3 linked regions of the Canis lupus familiaris genome follow. The protein of the gene in region 1 interacts with the protein of each later gene in a biochemical or structural test. Links are inferred from orthologs where the notes say so. Each region holds a gene or a part of one and is shown on either strand. Other genes may lie near its edges.

Region 1 (6,144 bases):
TTGGTGTTCAATTTACTAACATACAGAATAACACCCAGTGCCCGTCACCCATTCACTCCCACCCCCCGCCCTCCTCCCCTTCTACCACCCCTAGTTCGTTTCCCAGAGTTAGCAGTCTTTACGTTCTGTCTCCGTTTCTGATATTTATAAATTGCCAATTGTGTTCTAGACATTATGAAGTGGAGGTGTGGGGCAAGGCACAGGTTATCATATTCCTATATGAGGAAGCTTGAAAAAGACAACATGTATTAATGAATACTGATGCTGCAATTAAGCTTACATGTGCCTGGAAATTATTTACACATGTTTCATGCATGAGTGTCAAAGCTACAGCAGCAGTTTTGTGTTAGATGTCAATGGAACTGTATTAGTTTTTTAGTGAATTGTCTTTACTAGACTTGATAGTTTAATAAATAAAAGCCACTAAAACAAAGTTGAAAAGCATGAGCGGAAATAAGACAAACAATATGCCAACATTTTTTACATTGTGGTGTTAAACAATTTTCTTAATGTTTAAAACTTGAACACATACTGTAATGAATTTCAACTGATCAGAAAATGTTTTTATTTATTTCTTACTTAGGAAAAGCAATTTCATATATCCTTTTATTTTTGATTCACATATAAATAGATGACTTTGTTTCTGCAACTGCACCTTTAAATAAGAAACCCCGAACAACACCAAAGGAGCTAAAACTAGAAACAAGGAAACCTAAACTGAAGAATCTCCAGAAGGAAGATATCCCAGCACAAGAGAAAACTCCTAAAAAAAGGTGAGAGGTAAGACATACAGTAAATATACAGTAGATATGTTAATTTAAGAGGGACAGATTCAAACTCTTGGCTTAAATTATTACTTGAGCAGAGTCAGAGGTATTATTTATTTAGTGCATGTAGAAGAATAGGAATGTACCATTATTAATCCCCTTCTGACTTCCTGCCTTAAAAAAATCCATAAACATGTAAGGAAATAATCATTTCAGTATTAAGACAATCGTAATTACAAAGTTTAGGAGTTACAGCTTAATTTTATAGGAATCTGTACCTGTCTTGAAGTCCTCAAATCTTATAAGACCACTTTTTAAAAATCACATTTCTAAGGATAGTTTTATAAAAATTAAAACCCATGAATTTTTATGCAGATAAAAGATACTTCCTCTTTATATTGTTGAGACTTGTCCAGCACTGAGTAGTTCCTATAGTTTGTAGACATATCCTGGATTTCCATTAGTTAGTACCAAGAGAGAAGAGAGGAATGAGGGAAGGAAGTCCCAAGTGGCCCCAAACCTGTATAATGGAGAGGAGATGGGCAGATGGGGAGTATTAACAAATGGAACATGGGGCGTGATATGGTTCAGCATGATATGATATGCTGCGGGTATTAGAAAAGTTCATTAACCTAGAGTGATTTACCCTGTGTTCTGCTCTTTACCTTTTTCTCTTATTTTCATTTTTGTTTTTGAGCTTCTTATTCTACATTTCAAACACAGTGAAAAAAATAACCTACAGATGGGAGAGAATATTTGCCAATCATATAATTGATGAGGGATTTGTATTCAGAATATATAAAGAACTCTTACAGCTCAACAATAAAAAGACTAATAACCCAATTTACAAAATGGGCAAAGGATTTGAGTAGACATTTCTCCAAAGAAGATCTACAAATGGCTAATAAGCACATAAAAAATGCTTGTCATCCTTAGCCATCAGGGAAGTACAAATCAAAATCATGGTAAAATGGTACTTCACACCCACTGGGATGGCCATAATCTAAAAGACAGACAATAACTAGTGTTAAAGAGGAAATGGAGAAATTGGAACTCTCATACATTGTTGCTGGGAATGTAAAATGGTGCAGCCACATTGAAAAGCAGAGTTAGCAGTTCTCAAAATGTTAAACACTGAATTATTCATGACCCAGCCTATTATATACCCAGGAGAAATGAAAACATATACCCACAGAAAAACTTGGACATGAAGGTTCACAGCATTATTCATAATAGCCAAAAAATGGAAGCATCCTAAATATCCATCCACTGGTGAATAGGAATAAATAAAATGTCTGTCTATACACTGGAATATTATTCAGCAATGAAAAGAAGTACTGATGATATATGCTACAAAATGGATGAACCTTGAAAACATGCTGAGCAAAAGCAGCCAAATATAAAAGGCCATGTGTATGATTCCACTAATATGAAATGTCTAGAATAGGTGAGTCCATAGAAAGTAGATTAGTGGTTTCCAGGTGTTGGAAGGGGGAAGCAGGGCGTGACTGCTAATGGATATAGGGTTTCTTTTTGGGGTGATGAAAATACTCTGAGGTTAGATAGCAGTGACGATTTCTCAACTCTAAATATACTAAAGACTGCTGAATTGTACACTTTAAAAGGGTGAGTTTTATACTATATGAATTATATCTCAATAGAACTTTTGTTTTTTAAAAAATAATAAATCTTGAAAGATGCATCTCAATATTTTATCCTTTATGTAACCTTTTTCTTTTTAATATTTGATTTCTCTTCTCAAGTACCATAGTGCTTTTGACCACTGCAATATGAAACATAATAATCTACATGTGTAGGATAATTATTAGTGTGTCTTATTTCCCTACATTCCTCATTAATTGCAGACACCTTGAGGGTACTTTTAGTATTCTATCCAGTGTTGTGGCGCATACACAGTAAGTACCTGGTGACAAATTTGTTAAAGTCAAGATGAGGAGGAACAGATTTGTTAAAAACCAGTTTAGTAGAAGAGCTATAATACTTGTCTAAGGAGGTATAAGTGAGGTCGGGGAAGATTCCTAAGTGGATTTTTCAGCCAAGCTTTTATAATAGGTTGAGCAGGTGCTTGGAATCGGTAGTGAGGATTGGCATTACACAGAAAGGGAACAGTTTTTTACAATGGCACTTGCTGCTCCTCTTGTAAATCTCTTATGCTAAATGCAACATGACATTACTACATATTTAGCAGTGTTGTCATTAAAGTCAATTATGATCATGATTACAATTTAAAAGCATTTTTGTGAGGTTAGCAGCTCTTAAATAGTAATTCAGGAAAATCACAGATTTTGCTATTTGGTCGAGATTGGCATTTTTAAAAACTCATTTTTATTTGTGTGTTCACCTCAGGATGGCTTTAGATGACAAGCTCTACCAGCGAGACTTAGAAGTCGCACTAGCTTTATCAGTGAAGGAACTTCCGACAGTCACCATTGATGTGGAAGAGGCTCAAGATAAAAGTAATTTTATTTTCCATATATTTATCTTTATGTCCTTATTGTTTTCATAATCATTTCTCTGGGTGAGCCTTTACAGAGGAAAAGAATAAAATTTTAAAACTTTGGATAACAAATGGAATACTTTGCAGAGGGACACAATTAGATTCAGTTGCTTATTCTGCTGCATAAATCTCATACACACACACATCTCTGCTTAACACTTAAACTTGTGGTCATGGACTATGAGCTTGGATTTTTGTGTATAGTGGGGATTTAATCTCTTGATCAAATGAATTGAGATCAATTCAATACAATCAATACAATTCAATACAATTCAATACAATCAATACAATCATAACAATCCAACTATTTTCTCTCAAAATTCAAATCAGTTAAACATGACCTATTGATGGTAATTTTTATTATTTATAAAAGTTAACGATTCTAGTTTGGTTAGCAAGCTCAGTGGAAGTAAGAGATGTGTGACTTCTGGACTTCTCTGGGTTTTTCTCCTTTGATTTGTCTGCCACCTGTGCAGCAGATGGCAGAGGCAGAAATCATTATTCCTGGAAAAGATACTGAAACTTAAAATACCTTTTTGATGAAACAAAACAGTTTCAAAAGGACTTAACTTATGATGGAGGATAATTTTTAGCTCATTAGCTTATTTAGGGGTATAGATGTTTAAGTCAGTATTGCCTTCTTTTTGGAAATGAATGAGACACTCTTGATTAGGGAGTCATTTAGTAATCAGGAAATCAAGGAAACATAAAAACAATTGTTTTATATCTAAAAATTGAGGAAATGAAATCCATCTTTCTCTTGTAAAGGATGGTAAAATACATAGCAGAATTTCCTTGGAAATATCACTTTTCATAGATTAATGTACTTTATAGTAATGGGATTTAATAGTACCAATTATTGTGACTAAAAGTCCTCTTGAAATACTTTAGATCATTTTAAGGTTATTATAATGATTGAAGAGGCTTTGTTAGTAAGAGTGTGTATCTGCCTACACAGAAATGACAGTTAATATTTATTGACTGTTTCCTGTGTGCTGGGCAATAAGCAATTCCTACATGTGGTTGACATTTAATCCCCCACAATAATCCCAATTAATCCACACACTATTTATTATTTCTGTATTATCGATGAGGACATTAAGTCTTAGAGGGGATAAGTAACTTTCCAGTGGTCATATAGCCAATGTTTCAACTGAAGTCTCAGTCTGATTTCAGAGCCCAAACTCTTAACCATATCCTTTCCAAGGTAAATCATTGTGTTATAAGTCTGCATCATTTATCTGTATCTGGATGCCTTTACATTTGAGCACCAATTTTCCTATTTCTGCTCATTGGCTGATTAAGATGCATCTGTACTTTTTGTCCTCTTCCTTGTCTTTAGGCACTGGGAAATGTGGCAGCAGCGAAACTGGGACAATGAATAAGGCTCCCCATATCTCTAATTGCAGTGTAGCCAGTGATTATTTAGGTAAGTTTTGATATTAGTAATAATACTTACTTTTTCTGGGATGCCTGGGTAGCTCAGTGGTTGAGCATCTGCCTTCGGCTCAGGGTGTGATCCCAGGGTCCTGGGATCAAGTCCCACATCAGGCTCCCTGCAGAGAGCCTGCTTCTCCCTCTGCCTATGCCTGTGCCTCTCTTTCTCTCTCTGTATCTCTCATGAATAAATAAATCAAATCTTTAAAAGAAATTTACTTTTTCTATTGACAGTGCTGTTTTCCTAACTTTTATTTAAATACCTGACCCTGCAGAGACTCATTGGGAAAGGGGGAGAAAATTGAATGGGAAGAAATCAGAGAGGAAGATAAACCATGAGAGACTCTGAGCTCTAGGAAACAAACTGAGGGTTGCTGAAGGGGAGGTGGTTGAGGGATGGGGTAACTGGGTGATGGGCATTATGGAGGGCACAGAATGTGATGAGCACTGGGTGTTATATACAACTGATGAATCACTGAATTCTACCTCTGAAACTAATGATGTACTATATGTTGGCTAATTGAATTAAAATTAAAAAAAAAAAAAAACCTGACGCTAGCTAGAACCAAGATACTTAAATTTGTTAAGGTTCCCTTCACCTCTTCTCCTTTGTTTCTTTGTGTTTTAGCTTTCTTCCTTTTTACTGCAGACCTGTTTTCTTCTTTCCAGGGGGAGGGTCATGACTACCATGGCTTCTAGTCAATAGCTGTTGACCACTGAAAAAAAGGGGCTTCATCTTCCCAGCTCCAGTTTTACAATTTCTTGGGGCAAGAATCCTCAGTTGGGCTGTCTTGTCAGGAGACTGAGGTATTATGATTGACCCACATTGGACTGTGTGGTCTCTCAGAAGCCACGGAGGGATGAGGCAGGGCAAATAAAAACAACAGATGTGATAGAAGCCTGCTCTGCAGTTCTTTAAGTATTACCTGTCACAAAAAGTTTTCCATTGGTTTTTATGCCTCCCCTGAAGATTTGGACAAGATCACTGAGGAAGATGATTTTCATGGTGTTGAAGGGAAAAGAAAAGCAGCATCAAAAGCTGTGGTACAACAGAGGAAGATTCTTCTGGAAGGCAGTGATGGCGATAGTGCTAATGACTCTGAACCAGACTTTGCAACTGGTGAGTTCTGTCCTACTTCAAAATTAAACCTATGGAAATTCAGTAAAAAGTCCTTAGAGACCATTAATGTATGTGAAGCACTGTGCTGTTTGGTGTATGCAAACTTGAGGAACACGCAGGACAGTTAAATTCAGCTCTGCCTTTGGGGAAAAGGCTTTATGTAGAGGTAACCTTTAGGCCGTGCCTTGAAAAATGAATAGCATTTAGGCAAAATAGCAGGGTAAAATTGCATTCCTGACTGACAGAAAGGTATAAACAGTGGAATAGACAAGCACATATATAAGAGGTCACTGAGCCCACAG
Region 2 (6,144 bases), on another chromosome or scaffold:
TTTCTGCTGCTCACCTTTCAAGATGAAGGAGGATCAAGTTGTGCTGGAAGAACCAGGATTCCAAGATGAAGAAGTATGGCTAGAATTTTGAAACATGGGTAGACATTCAGTCATTCCACAAAAATGAAGTTCCTTCTCTGCTAGCTATTATTTTTAGAAACAGAGATGGAAAGAAAGCATAGTTCTAAAGAGAGGCAATATTACAAATATGTAACAACTTGTTTGGCAAAGGGTGCTAAGATTAGCTACTTAGCAACTAAGCGTGAAAGTATTTTAATAACCTAACAACTGGTACCACCATGATGGTAACTCTGCAGGCTGGTACCAAATAGCAGAGGAAGGAGTTCAAGGTCTGGTGGGGCAGAAAGTTGAGAAAACATATTTTAAAATAGGGGCGTCTGGGTGGTGTAGTCAGTTAAACATTCGACTCTTGTTTTTGGCTTAGATCTGATCTCAGGTTAGTGAGATCAAGTCTCACATCAGGTTCCAGACTCAACATAGAGTCTGGTGGAGTTTCTCTCTCCCTCTTCCTCTGCCTCTGCCTGCCTCTCTCTCTCTCTCTCTCTCTCCAATAAATAAATAAATCTTTAAAAAAATAAAATAAGTTAAATGTTGTTCCACTCCTTTGGGTTAAGGTCTTAAAAATCTGGACAGGACATGACAAAAATATTGGGCTTCCCAGCCCTTTCAGTGCTGGTGCATCTTCTAAATATATAATAATGTGTTTGAAAAACACATTATTGATCCTACCTCGATCTATCTAGAGAAGTGGAATTTGAGGCATTTTGGAGTAACTCATAATATTGAATCAACCCTTTAAAAGATATGATACAATTGGATAATGAAGAATCAAAGCTCCACTTTTTATTTTCTGTTGCATCCCCTTCAGGAATCTTTGTTTCAAGACATTGACCTGTTACAAAAACATGGAATCGTAAGTATTTTTTCAATTTTCAATGTAAGTTTTCAGTGTGAAATTGTTCAATTCAGGGTTTCTCATCCTTGACCCTATTGACATTTGGGACTGGGCAATTCTTAGTTGTGTGTGTGTGTGTGTGGGGGTGCATTTGTAAGGTATTTAGTAGCATCCCTGGCTCCTGACCACTCACTTTATGCTGATAGCACCCCTTTTAGTTATGACAACCAAAAATTTCTCTAGACATTGTCATATGACCCAAGGGGGCAAAACTGCCCCCGGTTGAGAACCACTGGTCCGACTGGAGGTATTCAGGGCTACCTACCACGGTCTTCAACAGAAAATTCAGTTCCTTGGCAGGTGATTAGAGTAAATGATGTTGACCAAAATCAGACTTTGAGTAACAAGATGAATTCAACAGCAGTTCATTGATAGTAAAACTCTGACATTATCTTTTGAAGCCCTCACATTTAATTTCTTTCAGTTGGATTTAGAAAATAGGAGCAAGAGAAAATCCTGGCCCTTTGGTAATGTAGTTATTTGCATTTCCCAAGGGTAGAAGAAAAAAAATTAATTAAAAAAACCATATTCATAATGAAGTTCTCTAGAAGGAAAGAGCTGAACCGAGGGGGCGAATGTGTGATAAATTTGCTAGCTTTTCTACCAACAGACTTTTCTTTTGAATTCCTTGTTACATTGCCATGGTCTCACTAACATTCTTGGGAAATCAGGGCACAGCCAGAACATTTGGCAGCATGCTGGGTATGTTCTACTCAGATATTTCCAGAACATTTGGCTACATGGTGGGTGGGTTCCACCTGGCTGCTTGTATAAAATTGGCATCATGGTAGAAGGAGATGGACACAAAAGCACATGACATAGTATGGGAGCCTTGCAGGCTGGCATTTTATCAATCTGCTGCACCCATTCTTTTATTTACAGAATGTGGCTGACATTAAGAAACTGAAGTCAGTAGGAATCTGTACCATCAAAGGGATACAAATGACAACAAGAAGAGCACTATGCAATGTCAAAGGGCTCTCAGAAGCAAAAGTGGACAAGATTAAAGAGGCAGCCAACAAACTTATTGTAAGCAAGATCAATTCTTTGTTGTTTTAGCTTAGAAGGGCCCTGGGAGTCTCTGTAGCCTTTCTCATTGAACACCAGAAACTCCTCACAAATACTAGAAACTACTGAGGGAACCCTGAATTTCTATGGATCACAATCTATTATATCCTCGTGTTAACTTTTGATCACTTCAGTTTCAAAGCAACAGCAATTAATCTTTGACAGATTGAGACAAGAGTTAAAGAGACTTGAATACTATAATCATTTCTACCAAGCCTTTTTTTTGGATCTCCTTTTATATTAATTTTTCTCTCTTTATGTTTCTATGCCTTAACTCCTTATTTTTGCTTTGTCTTCTCAAATATTGTATCTTTGGTTGTTGCAAAGCACTCAGCACCAAAGAAGTTGTACTCTCATGGTATAGGTCAATTGGTAAGGGAACGTTGGGTTAGAATAAGACTAACAGTGTGGTCTACACGTATACAGTCGAGATAGATATGACCAAGAATATGCTCACTGAGGCAGATGAACTGCAGCTGAGCTAAACTCACACCTTGGAGCTGGCCCACAGACTATGAGAGGCCCATGCAGCTAAGAGGCTCCAAGCAAAAACATATGCCTTTGACCCTAGCTTTTGTGTTGAATTTTTGGAGGCCAGTGGAGGCACTAGCACTGATAACAAGAATGTGCGGAAAGAAAGTCACCAAGTCTCTCCTTTTGCAGAACAAGGCTTTCCATATTTACACAGGTGTGTGAGGGTCTTATTCCCAGCAACTCCTAGAAGCGTTCTTCATGGACAGCCATTTGGTTTCCTTCCTCAGAGGCAGTTGAAGTGTGACAGTGATGACAGTGGCTGTGTGGTCCTGAACTTGGAGACAACCTAACTGAACTCTTCTGAACCCAGCTCAGTTGCCCTAACTTCTGAGTAAACTCAGGCGGTATATTCATAGGTCAATTCTACAACTGCCCTAGAGCAGTACCCAGAGTTTTTAAAACTGCCACTTTAGAGTTCATAAGCATTACTCTTATTTTCCTTGTAAACTAAATCCCATTATCAAAGAAAAGAATCCCTCTCCTTCTCAAGCATATACTAGTGAACCCAGAATCTGCATCCTTTCTTAACTAAAGCTGTTTATTCTTAGAAAGAGATTGAGAGATAGAAGGAGGGAGGGAGGGAAGGAGGGAAGGGGTGGAGTGAGGGAGAGAGAGACAGAGAGAGAAAGGAAGTTAATTTAGTAATATAGTGGTTCCAAACAGTGCGTATCAATGACCTGGAGCGGCTAATAATGAAGACATACGCCCAGACTTGTTGAAATAGGATAGGGCCTGGGTGTTTTTTTTTTTTAAAGAGTTGTGAGTTTAAACATTTTATTTACTTATTTTACAGGGTGGGGGAGGGGCAGAGGGCGAGGGAGAGAGAGAACCCCAAGTAGGCTCCACACTCAGCACACAGCCCTACATGGGGCTTGATCTCATGACCTGAACTGAAATCACGAGTCAGAGACTCAACTGACTGAGCCACCCAGGTACCCCGGTTTGGGCTTTTTAAACCTCCTGTCAAGTTCTCCAAAGTTTGAGAACCACTGTCCTATGAAACAAGAACAGAAATACATTAGACCATATCATTAGAGCACATCAAGCCCTGTTCTCACTAGTTACACTACTGCATCGCTACAGCTCATTGATTTGGCAAATAAGTAGCATTTCTACTGCTGACAGATATTGTCTCATGAATAGTGAATTTCTGTGCTCCTTGAAATTTCCAGAGCTAGGGGGAAATGATGCTGGTCAATGGAATCATTTAGTAAAATACCATTCTGCTTTGTGCAATAAATATACCTCATTTAAATTTTATAGCTACCCTATGAGAGAGACACTGTTCTTATTCTGATTTGACCCCAAAAATAAGTTGGAGTACAGCAAGATTAAGTAGTTTACCCTAAATTACACAACTAGTAAGTATTAGAGACATATTTTGAACCTACATAGGGCAGTTCCAGCACCTGTTTTTTTAACCATGATCTTGTGCTGCTTTCAAAGATAAATAAATGAATTGTAGCTCATATCAAATGATGACCCTGATAATCAAGTAGAGAGTTTTGGGCAGCATTTGAAGTTAACATCATCATCTTATACCCTTTTGAACCTTTCCTTTTGTCTTTCTGTAGGAACCAGGATTCTTGACTGCCTTTGAGTATAGTGAGAAGAGAAAGATGGTTTTCCATATCACCACTGGGAGCCAGGAATTTGAGTGTGTATCTTGTATCTTTTACAACCACTAGACACAATCTTTGGAATGTTGTATCTTTTTTCTTGAGTTTGTTAGAAATAGCTTCTTTTTCTGAAGTAGCTTTTTTTTTCCTAAAAGACTACTACTAAAGCAAACAAATTCCAGATGATTTGTAGAAGCAAGATTAAATTTCTTATAAGAAATTCAGACCCAAAATATAAGTAGTTTTCTGAATCAGCCTGTATTTTTAAAACCATCTTGAAAATCAGTTTAACTTTTCATTTCCTTTTCTTCTTGTTGATAAAGGAAATTCCATTTCACTTTTGGTTTTACTTAAAAATCAGTTGTTAGATTGAATATTTTAGAAGAAATAAATTCAGTGGGTTTTTTTTTTTTTTTTGCTCTTTAGCATCAGAAGCTCTTACTCATTAACAAATTCTGTCTGCTCTACCTTCAACAACAAATCACCCTATTCATTTCTTCAACAAATAAATTACAAGGAATCAAAAAAGATGAAGTCAGGGAGAAGACGTAGAGATTAAAAGAGATTTAAAAGACATTTTACCTAATCCCCAATATATGGATTTTATTTGGATCCTGATTCAAATACACTATAAAAAATAAGATGTATATGAGACAATTGGAAGATTGAACACTTACCTTTTTTAAGATTATTTATTCATTTAAGAGAGAGAAAGGGAGTACAAACAGAAAGAGGCAGAGAGAAGAGAAGCAGACTCCCCACTGAGCTATGAGCCTGACGTAAGGCAGATAGATGCTCAACCATCTGAGCCACCCAGGTACCCCAGAATTACTACTTTTTTAGGTAATAATGATAATATGATTATGTTTAAAATAAGAGTATTCATTTTTTTAGAGATAACTACTGAAATATTTAGGATAAAATGATATATTGTCCAGTCTCTGCTTAAAATAGTATGAAAGGGGAGGGAAGTAATTAGAGGTTTATATGAAAAAAGATTGACCATGAGTTCATAGTTGGTAATTGTTGAAGCTAAGTGATAGGTACATGATGGCTCGTTAGTATACTGTTTTTTGTCCACTTTAGTTTATGTTTGAAACTTTCCATTATAACATTTATATATTTTTTTCTATGTGTGTGTGTATAGAAAAAAGAAGAAATAGGAATTCAATTAATTCTCTACCACCTCCTCCACTGTTACCTCACTGGTTTAAACTATCTATTAATATCTCCTCTGGAGTATTATAATGCTTCTAGCCTCTCTCTTTCAGATCTTGCCTCTACTATTTATTCTTCACACAGTAGCCGGAATGATCCCTTTAAAACTTAGGTCACAGGCGTCTGGGTCATTCAGTCGATTGAGTGTCTGACTCTTGATTTTGGCTCAGGTCATGATCTCAGGGTCACGGGATCTAGCCCTGCATCATGGGGTTCCATACTCAGTGGGGAGTCTGCTTGGGATTCTCTCCCTCTGCCCCTCCCGCTCTGCCCCCCACTCTCTCTTAAAAACAAAAACAAAAATCAACAAATTTAGGTCAAATCATGACATTCTCTGCCCAAAACTACTCTAATGACTCCTCATCTCAGAGCAAAAGCCAAAATCCTCTTTAATCAACTCTCATCTTTTTATTCTTTTTTCAGTTTGCTATACACCAACCACACCAACTTCTTTGCTATTCCTAGAACATGCCAGATACACTCCATCCTCAGGGTCTTTGCACTTACCATTTCCTCTGCTTGGAATACTTTTTCCTTCTACATGTGCATGGCATACTGTCATCTCTTTCAGATTTTTGCTAAAATGTCCACTTCTCAATGAGGCTGCTTTAATCACTTTATTTAAATACTTAAACTCCCTGCCTTCATCCTCTGCATTTCTTTTTTTTTTTTTTTAAAGATTTTATTTATTCATAGGGACACAGAGAGAGAATGAGAGGCAGAGACACA
Region 3 (6,649 bases), on another chromosome or scaffold:
TGATCATGCTAAGGAAACATCTAATTCTTTTTTTACCTTTTCCCTCCTTTTTTCTTTTTTTAAGATTTATTTATTTATTCATGAGAGACACAGAGAGAGAGGTAGAGACACAGGCAGAGGAAGAAGCAGACTCCTTGCAGGGAGCCTGATGTGAGGTTCGATCCCCAGACACAGGATCCAGGATCACATCCTGAGCTGAAGGCAGACACTCAGTTGCTGAGTCACCCAGGTGCACTGGATCATCCTTGTACTACTCAGTCGGATCACTTGGACTTGACAGTGGGTTTCCCTTTCTGCATTTCCCTTACTCTGCTACAGGCTGACTATGCCAGATCATTTTTCTTGAGACAAAAGATTAGATTTCTGATGATTAAGTTTTGGTTTTACTAGAGGTTACCTTCTTAAGATTTCAGATAGGTCATTAGACTGATTTAGGATATATCCCAAACTTTTAAATTACACATTTATTTTTTTTAAGATATTACTTATTTGAGAAAAAAGAGTGAGAGGGAGGGGTAGGGGGAGAGGCAGAAGGAGAATTAGATTCTCTGCTTAGCAGGAAGCTCTGCACTGGGCTGGATCCCAGGACCCCAGGATCATGACTCAAGGGAAAGGCAGACACCTAACCACCTGAGCCACCTAGATGCCCCTCAATTACACATTTGTAAATAATCACACGGCTTGCTAATTTAACTGTTATATATTTTTAACTGTTAGTAAGAACTCTAGCTTATCTTATTTCCAAGTGTTTAGTGGGTTGTCTTGGAAGTGAGGAACAGAAAACTACTCAAACTGGTTAAGCAGAAGAAATGGAAGGGAGACTTATTGGAATGTAGGAGTAGGGGATCCCTGGGTGGCGCAGCGGTTTGACGCCTGCCTTTGGCCCAGGGCGCGATCCTGGAGACCCGGGATCGAATCCCACATCGGGCTCCCAGTGCATGGAGCCTGTTTCTCCCTCTGCCTATGTCTCTGCCTCTCTGCCTCTCTGCCTCTCTCTCTCTCTGTGACTATCATAAATAAATTAAAAAAAAAAAAAAAGGAATGTAGGAGTATCTCATAGATCTCAAGAACAGTAAGTACTACTGGGCTCCTAAGAAATTGGAAAAATTTGGAAAATATCAGATTTAGGGCATCTGGGTGGCTCAGTGGTTGAGCATCTGCCTTTAGCACAGGTTATGATCCTGGGGTTCTGGGATCAAGTTCTGCATAGACTCCCTGCAGGGAGCCCACCTCTCCACACGCACAACCCACTGTTAATCAAGTGTTGCTGTGTTATTGAACTTATATCACCTGCACATTGTTTTGCCAAATAGACTACAAGCATCTTTGAGATTAAGAATGCTATGCTAGGGATCCCTAGGTGGCGCAGCGGTTTGGCGCCTGCCTTTGGCCTAGGGCGCGATACTGGAGACCCAGGATCAAATCCCACGTCGGGCTCCCGGTGCATGGAGCCTGCTTCTCCCTCTGCCTGTGTCTCTGCCTCTCTCTGTGACTATCATAAATAAATTAAAAAAAAAACCAAACAAGCTTTATGAACTTTAAAGCACTCCACAAATATACAGTAGTAGTGGGGGAAAAATAGATCTAAATAAAGTAGTAGTAGGGGAAAGATTGATCAAACCATAGAACTCCTCTGCTCAAAAACTTTTTTTTTAATTTTATTTATGATAAGCACACAGTGAGAGAGAGAGAGGGGCAGAGACATAGACAGAGGGAGAAGCAGGCTCCATACACCGGGAGCCCGATGTGGGATTCGATCCCAGGTCTCCAGGATCGCGCACCTGGGCCAAAGGCAGGCGCCAAACCGCTGCGCCACCCAGGGATCCCCTCAAAAACTTTCAATGAGGAGTGCCTCAGTGGCTCAGCGTGGAGCCCCTGCCTTTGGCTCCGTTCATGATCTGAGGGTCTGGGATGAGTCCCACATTGGGCTCCCCAGGGAGCCTGCTTCTTCCTCTGCTTCTCCCTCTGCCTCTATGGGTGTCTCTCATGAATAAACAAAATCTTTAAAAAAAAATAAGATTTTTAATGATTTCCTCATTACTTAAAGAATAAAGACTGAAGCTCCACACATGGCCTTAAGCTTCTTCATAACCTGAATGAAATGTTAATTTTCCAGTATCAGCGTCTCTAGGACACTTTTCCTCCTTCATCAGACAATTCTATCGCTTGACCACGTTATTTCCATACCCATAGTGCTCTAAGTCTCCCATCTCCGTTTCTTTGCCCAGGAAACCCCATTAACGCTTTAAAACCGGAGTCACACACAGGTCCAACTTCCCAGTAAACAAGGTTTACTTTCTCAAAATCAGTGTCTCCTGCCCTCGGGAGTCTTCCAAATCTCAAGTACCAAGACTTGACTAATATTTCAGCCATTTTTCTCCCCTTCGTTAGCTGTTTCCAGTTCCATCTCAGCTCTACCACCTCCAGGGGCCTGGAAGGAAAACCCCAGGCTCCGGGAATTTGACGAAATCGGAAGCTCAGACTAAACGTCCAGGTTTAGAAACTAAAGAGGCAAATCGAGAGCAGCTCTCTAGAGCCAGACCTTCCCCCAGCAGGGGTGAGGCGCTAAAGTGGTGTGCGACCCTGTGCCTGCTGGGAGATGGAGTCTCCGACCCACCCCACTACCTCTTGGGAGTTGTAGTCCTTGGTCTGGTAAAAGAGAAGGAAGCGGCGACTCCCAAATTGTGAATTAGTTTTTAGGGGTAAAGGGAAGAGGCAAATGCCTCACATGAGGCAAGACCAAGTTCCTTGGACCCAACTAGGGTTCGCGAGCAGCCGCAGAGCGGGCTAGACCTCCGGGCCGAGGGGGCGGGGAGACGTTACGTTGACGCTGGCGTGACCCAGCCGGAGAATTTGGCGGGATCTCCAAACACTCCCCGGAGGGAGCTCTGCGGTTTGAGACCCAGCCTGAGGAGACTGACGCGCCCTTAGGGGCGTCGTTGGGAGCTGAAGCTCGCTTGGGTTGTGTGCGGAAGGCGGCAAAAAGGGAGTAGAAAATTTGGCAGCAAGGGAGGGAGTCCAGAGCCCGTCCAGAGTCGTGCGCGGACCGGACCCGCGGACAGAAGTCGGAGCGCGCAGCCCGGCAGTGAGGAGCGCTGTGGACCGAGGTGAGCGTGTGAGGCGTAGACTCGGCCCCTCCTGCCTCCCGGTGCGTCCCCGCAGTAGCCGAACCGGGCGGAGCCCGTGCCGCCGGCAGCCGGCTTATGGGCCCCTCTGCGCCAAGTGAGAAACCGGAGTTGGCGGGGCGGAGCAGGGTCATGCCCGGGCCCAACCCACCGTCGGGGCTCGTTGTGGCAAAAACTGAAGTGGTCCCCAGGCTCCAGAGCTAGAAGGAACCTCAGAGGCCTTCATTTTCAACACCCGGTTTGGGGGTGGGGGGGTGGGGGCGGCGGGAAAGCCGAGATCCAGAGAGGTGTTGTGATTTAACGTCACAGCTGTTTCTGTCGGGGCCAGGGTTTCCGGATTTCTGGTTAATCCTCTTTCCATTACACCCTGCTTTGCTTACGGAGTACCAGCTTCCAATTTCCTAAAAGGCGTTTTCATTAGCTAATTCAGGCCGTTCGTGTGATGATGCCTGGGGAATGATCTGTAGTGAAGTGGTTTCTTTTGACTGCTAAAGTGAAGTGTAATATGCGTATGGAAGAATATACAAATCAGAAGTGTATAGTATACGCCTCTGATTTCAAAAAGAATATACCTGTGCAGTCATTACTCAGGTCAATAAATAGAACGTTGTCAGCACCCCAACATCCCCTGTTCTCTCCAAAGGTAACCTCTGTATTGACTTCTGACACCAAAGACTAAATTTGCCTGTGTTTGAGTTTTGTGTAACTGATATTATCTATCTTTAAAAGGTTTTGTTTATTCATTTATTTATGAGAGACGCAGAGGGAGAAGCAGGCTCTTCAGGGAGCCTGCTGCGAGACTCGATCCCAGAAGCTCGGGATCATGACCTGAGCGACAGCAGATGCTCAACCGCTGAGCCACCCAGTTTCCCCATATTATGTATATTTTTGTGTTTGGTTTTGCTCAACATTCTGTCTGTAGATTCGTACTTATTTTTGCATATAGTAATAGTTCTTTTTAGTTTCTGTATTGAATTCCTTATTCATTCTGCCCATGCCCATGGTGGACATTTGGGTTGTTTCTAGTTTCTGAGTTTTTAAATGAGAAAATCTGCAGAGAACATTCCTGCGTATGTTTTGGTACAAACGTGTATGGTTTTCAGTTGGTTAGTAATACAGCGTTGAAATTCCTGGGTCATAGCATTTGTCTATATTCAACTTCCACATTTAATGCCAGTTTTCTTTTTTTAAAGATTTTATTTATTTATTCATGAAAGAGAGTGAAGGGCAGAGACACAGGCAGAGGGAGAAGCAGGCTCCATGCAGGAAGCCCGGTGTGGCATTGGATCCCGACACTCCGCATCCATGCCCTGGGCCAAAGACAGGTGCTAAACCGCTGAGCCACCCAGGCATCCCTACTGCCAGTTTTCTGCTACCAATTTACATTTACACCAGCAGTGTATGAGTGTTTAGTTTTTTCACATGCTTGCCAACACTTGATATTGTCAATCTTTTAAAATTTTATCTGTTTTGGTGGCATATAGTAATACTTCGTGGTTTTAATTTTGATTTTCCTGATAATTAGTCAGGTTGAGCATTGGTTCATCGTTTTTGGCCCATTTGGACATCTTCTATCCTGAAGTACTTGTTCCAATCTCTTGTCTGTTTTTCTATTGAGTTGCCTTTCTCCCTTCCCTTCCCTCTTTCCTTCCCTCTTTCCTTCCCTCTCTCCTTCCCTCTCTCCTTTCCTCTCCTTTCCTTTCCTTTTTTTAAGATTTTATTTATTCATTCATGAGAGAGAGGGAGAGGGAGAAGCAGAAGCAGGCTCCATGCAGGGAGTCCGATGTGGGACTCGATCCTGGGACTGCGGGATCACACCCTGAGCCAAAGGCAGATGCTCAACCGCTGAGCCATCCAAGTGTCCCTATTGGGTTGCCTTTCTTGCTGATTTGAAGTTCTTTATATATTTTAATTATCAGCCCTTAGTTGTATATATGGTAAATATTTTGTCTCCCACCTGTAGTTTGACTTCATTTTCTTAATAGTGTCTTTTGATGGATAGAAGTTTTAAGTTTAAATGTCCGATTTTTCAGTCTTTTTTTTCGTTGTTGCTTTAAGAAAGTTTTATCCCAAAGTCATGAAAACATTCACCTATATTCCAAAAGCTTTGTTTTACCTCTTATATTTAGATCTGTAATCGAATTGGAAACAGATGTTTCTTCTGTATGTGCAGTGTTTTATTTTGTTTTTGTTCTTTTTCTTATTCTGTAAGGCTCTCCCATCAACCTAGCACTTTTTATTGAAAAAAAAAATCCTTTTTCCATTCTCTGTAATTCCATCTTCTTCATAAATTATGAAGGGAGGTGTTTAAATTTTTTTTTTTTTTTAAGATTTTATTTATTCTGGGCAGCCCTGGTGGCTCAGCGGTTTAGTGCCACCTTCAGCCCAGGGCTTGATCCTGTAGACCCTGGATCGAGTCCCACGTCGGGCTGCTTGCATGGAGCCTGCTTCTCCCTCTGCCTGTGTCTCTGCTTCTCTCTCTCTCTCATTCTCTCATTAAAAAAAAAAAAAAAATCTTAAAAAAAAAAGATTTTATTCATGAAAGACACAGAGAGAGGCAGAGACATAGGCAGAGGGAGAAGCAGTCTCCATGCCAGAAGCCCATTGTGGGACTTGGGACTCTAGGATCATGCCCTGAGCCGAAGGCAGACGCTCAACTGCTGAGCCACCTAGGCATCCCAAGATGTTTAAATTTAAACTGCATTCAGGTGATTCCAGTATTTAACATTATCAGAGATATACATTATGCTAAATTTGCCATCTAAGAGATCTGCATCTGAACTAATTAAGAACAAATGGTCATTTCCAAAGAAGACACAAATTAATTGCAAACAGACACATGAAAAGGTGCTCAACATCATTAATCATCAGGGAAATACAAACCAAAACCGCAATGAGATATTATGTCCCATCTACCAGAATGGCTAAAATTAAAAAGATAAGAAATAGGGGAGCCTGACTGGTAAGGATGTGGAAAAAAAGGAACCCTCATGAACTGTTGGTGCACTAATTTACATTTGTGCAGCTGCTGTGGAAAACAGTATTGAGATTCCTCAAAAAATTAAAAATGGAAATACCATGTGATCCAGTAATTGCACTACTAGGTATTTACCCAAAGAAAAAACACTAACTTGAAGAGATATATGCAACCCATTGTTTATTGCAGCATTATTTATAATAGCCAAGATATGGAAGCAACCCAAGTATCCATCCACACATGAATGGATAAAGGATATGTACACACACACACACACACGAGATCTTCCCCTTTGCAACAATATGGGGGAACCTAGAGGGTACTATACTAAGTGAAATAAGTCATACAGAGAAAAAAATATGATATGATTTTATTTATATGTGGAATGTAAAAAAAATAAATGAACAAACAAAAAGCAGAAACAGACCCATAAATACAGAGAACAAACTGATGGTTCCCAGAGGGGAGGAGGAAGAATGGGCAGAGGGGTGAAAGTGAGTGAGAGGTACAGGCTACCAGTTATGGAATGAAAAAATCACAGGAATAA

What was found.
Region 2: the proteins of RAD51AP1 (region 1) and DMC1 form a complex in vitro, tested with the Homo sapiens proteins (2 studies listed by BioGRID and IntAct). The link is inferred for Canis lupus familiaris from reciprocal best matches to the Homo sapiens genes RAD51AP1 and DMC1.
Region 3: the proteins of RAD51AP1 (region 1) and RAD51 form a complex in vitro, tested with the Homo sapiens proteins (6 studies listed by BioGRID and IntAct). The link is inferred for Canis lupus familiaris from reciprocal best matches to the Homo sapiens genes RAD51AP1 and RAD51.

Annotation. Positions count from the first base shown.
Region 1 is NC_049248.1:5,762,413-5,768,556, forward strand, and holds part of RAD51AP1 (RAD51-associated protein 1), read left to right. Parts: intron 1-631; coding exon 632-773; intron 774-3,134; coding exon 3,135-3,244; intron 3,245-4,627; coding exon 4,628-4,714; intron 4,715-5,692; coding exon 5,693-5,842; intron 5,843-6,144. UniProt on the Homo sapiens protein: Structure-specific DNA-binding protein involved in DNA repair by promoting RAD51-mediated homologous recombination.
Region 2 is NC_049231.1:27,231,052-27,237,195, forward strand, and holds part of DMC1 (meiotic recombination protein DMC1/LIM15 homolog), read left to right. Parts: coding exon of another isoform or gene 1-22; coding exon 23-73; exon of another isoform or gene 74-74; intron 75-889; coding exon 890-934; intron 935-1,858; coding exon 1,859-2,005; intron 2,006-4,152; coding exon 4,153-4,235; intron 4,236-6,144. UniProt on the Homo sapiens protein: Participates in meiotic recombination, specifically in homologous strand assimilation, which is required for the resolution of meiotic double-strand breaks.
Region 3 is NC_049251.1:8,125,401-8,132,049, forward strand, and holds the start of RAD51 (DNA repair protein RAD51 homolog 1), read left to right. Parts: upstream 1-2,850; 5' UTR 2,851-3,107; intron 3,108-6,649.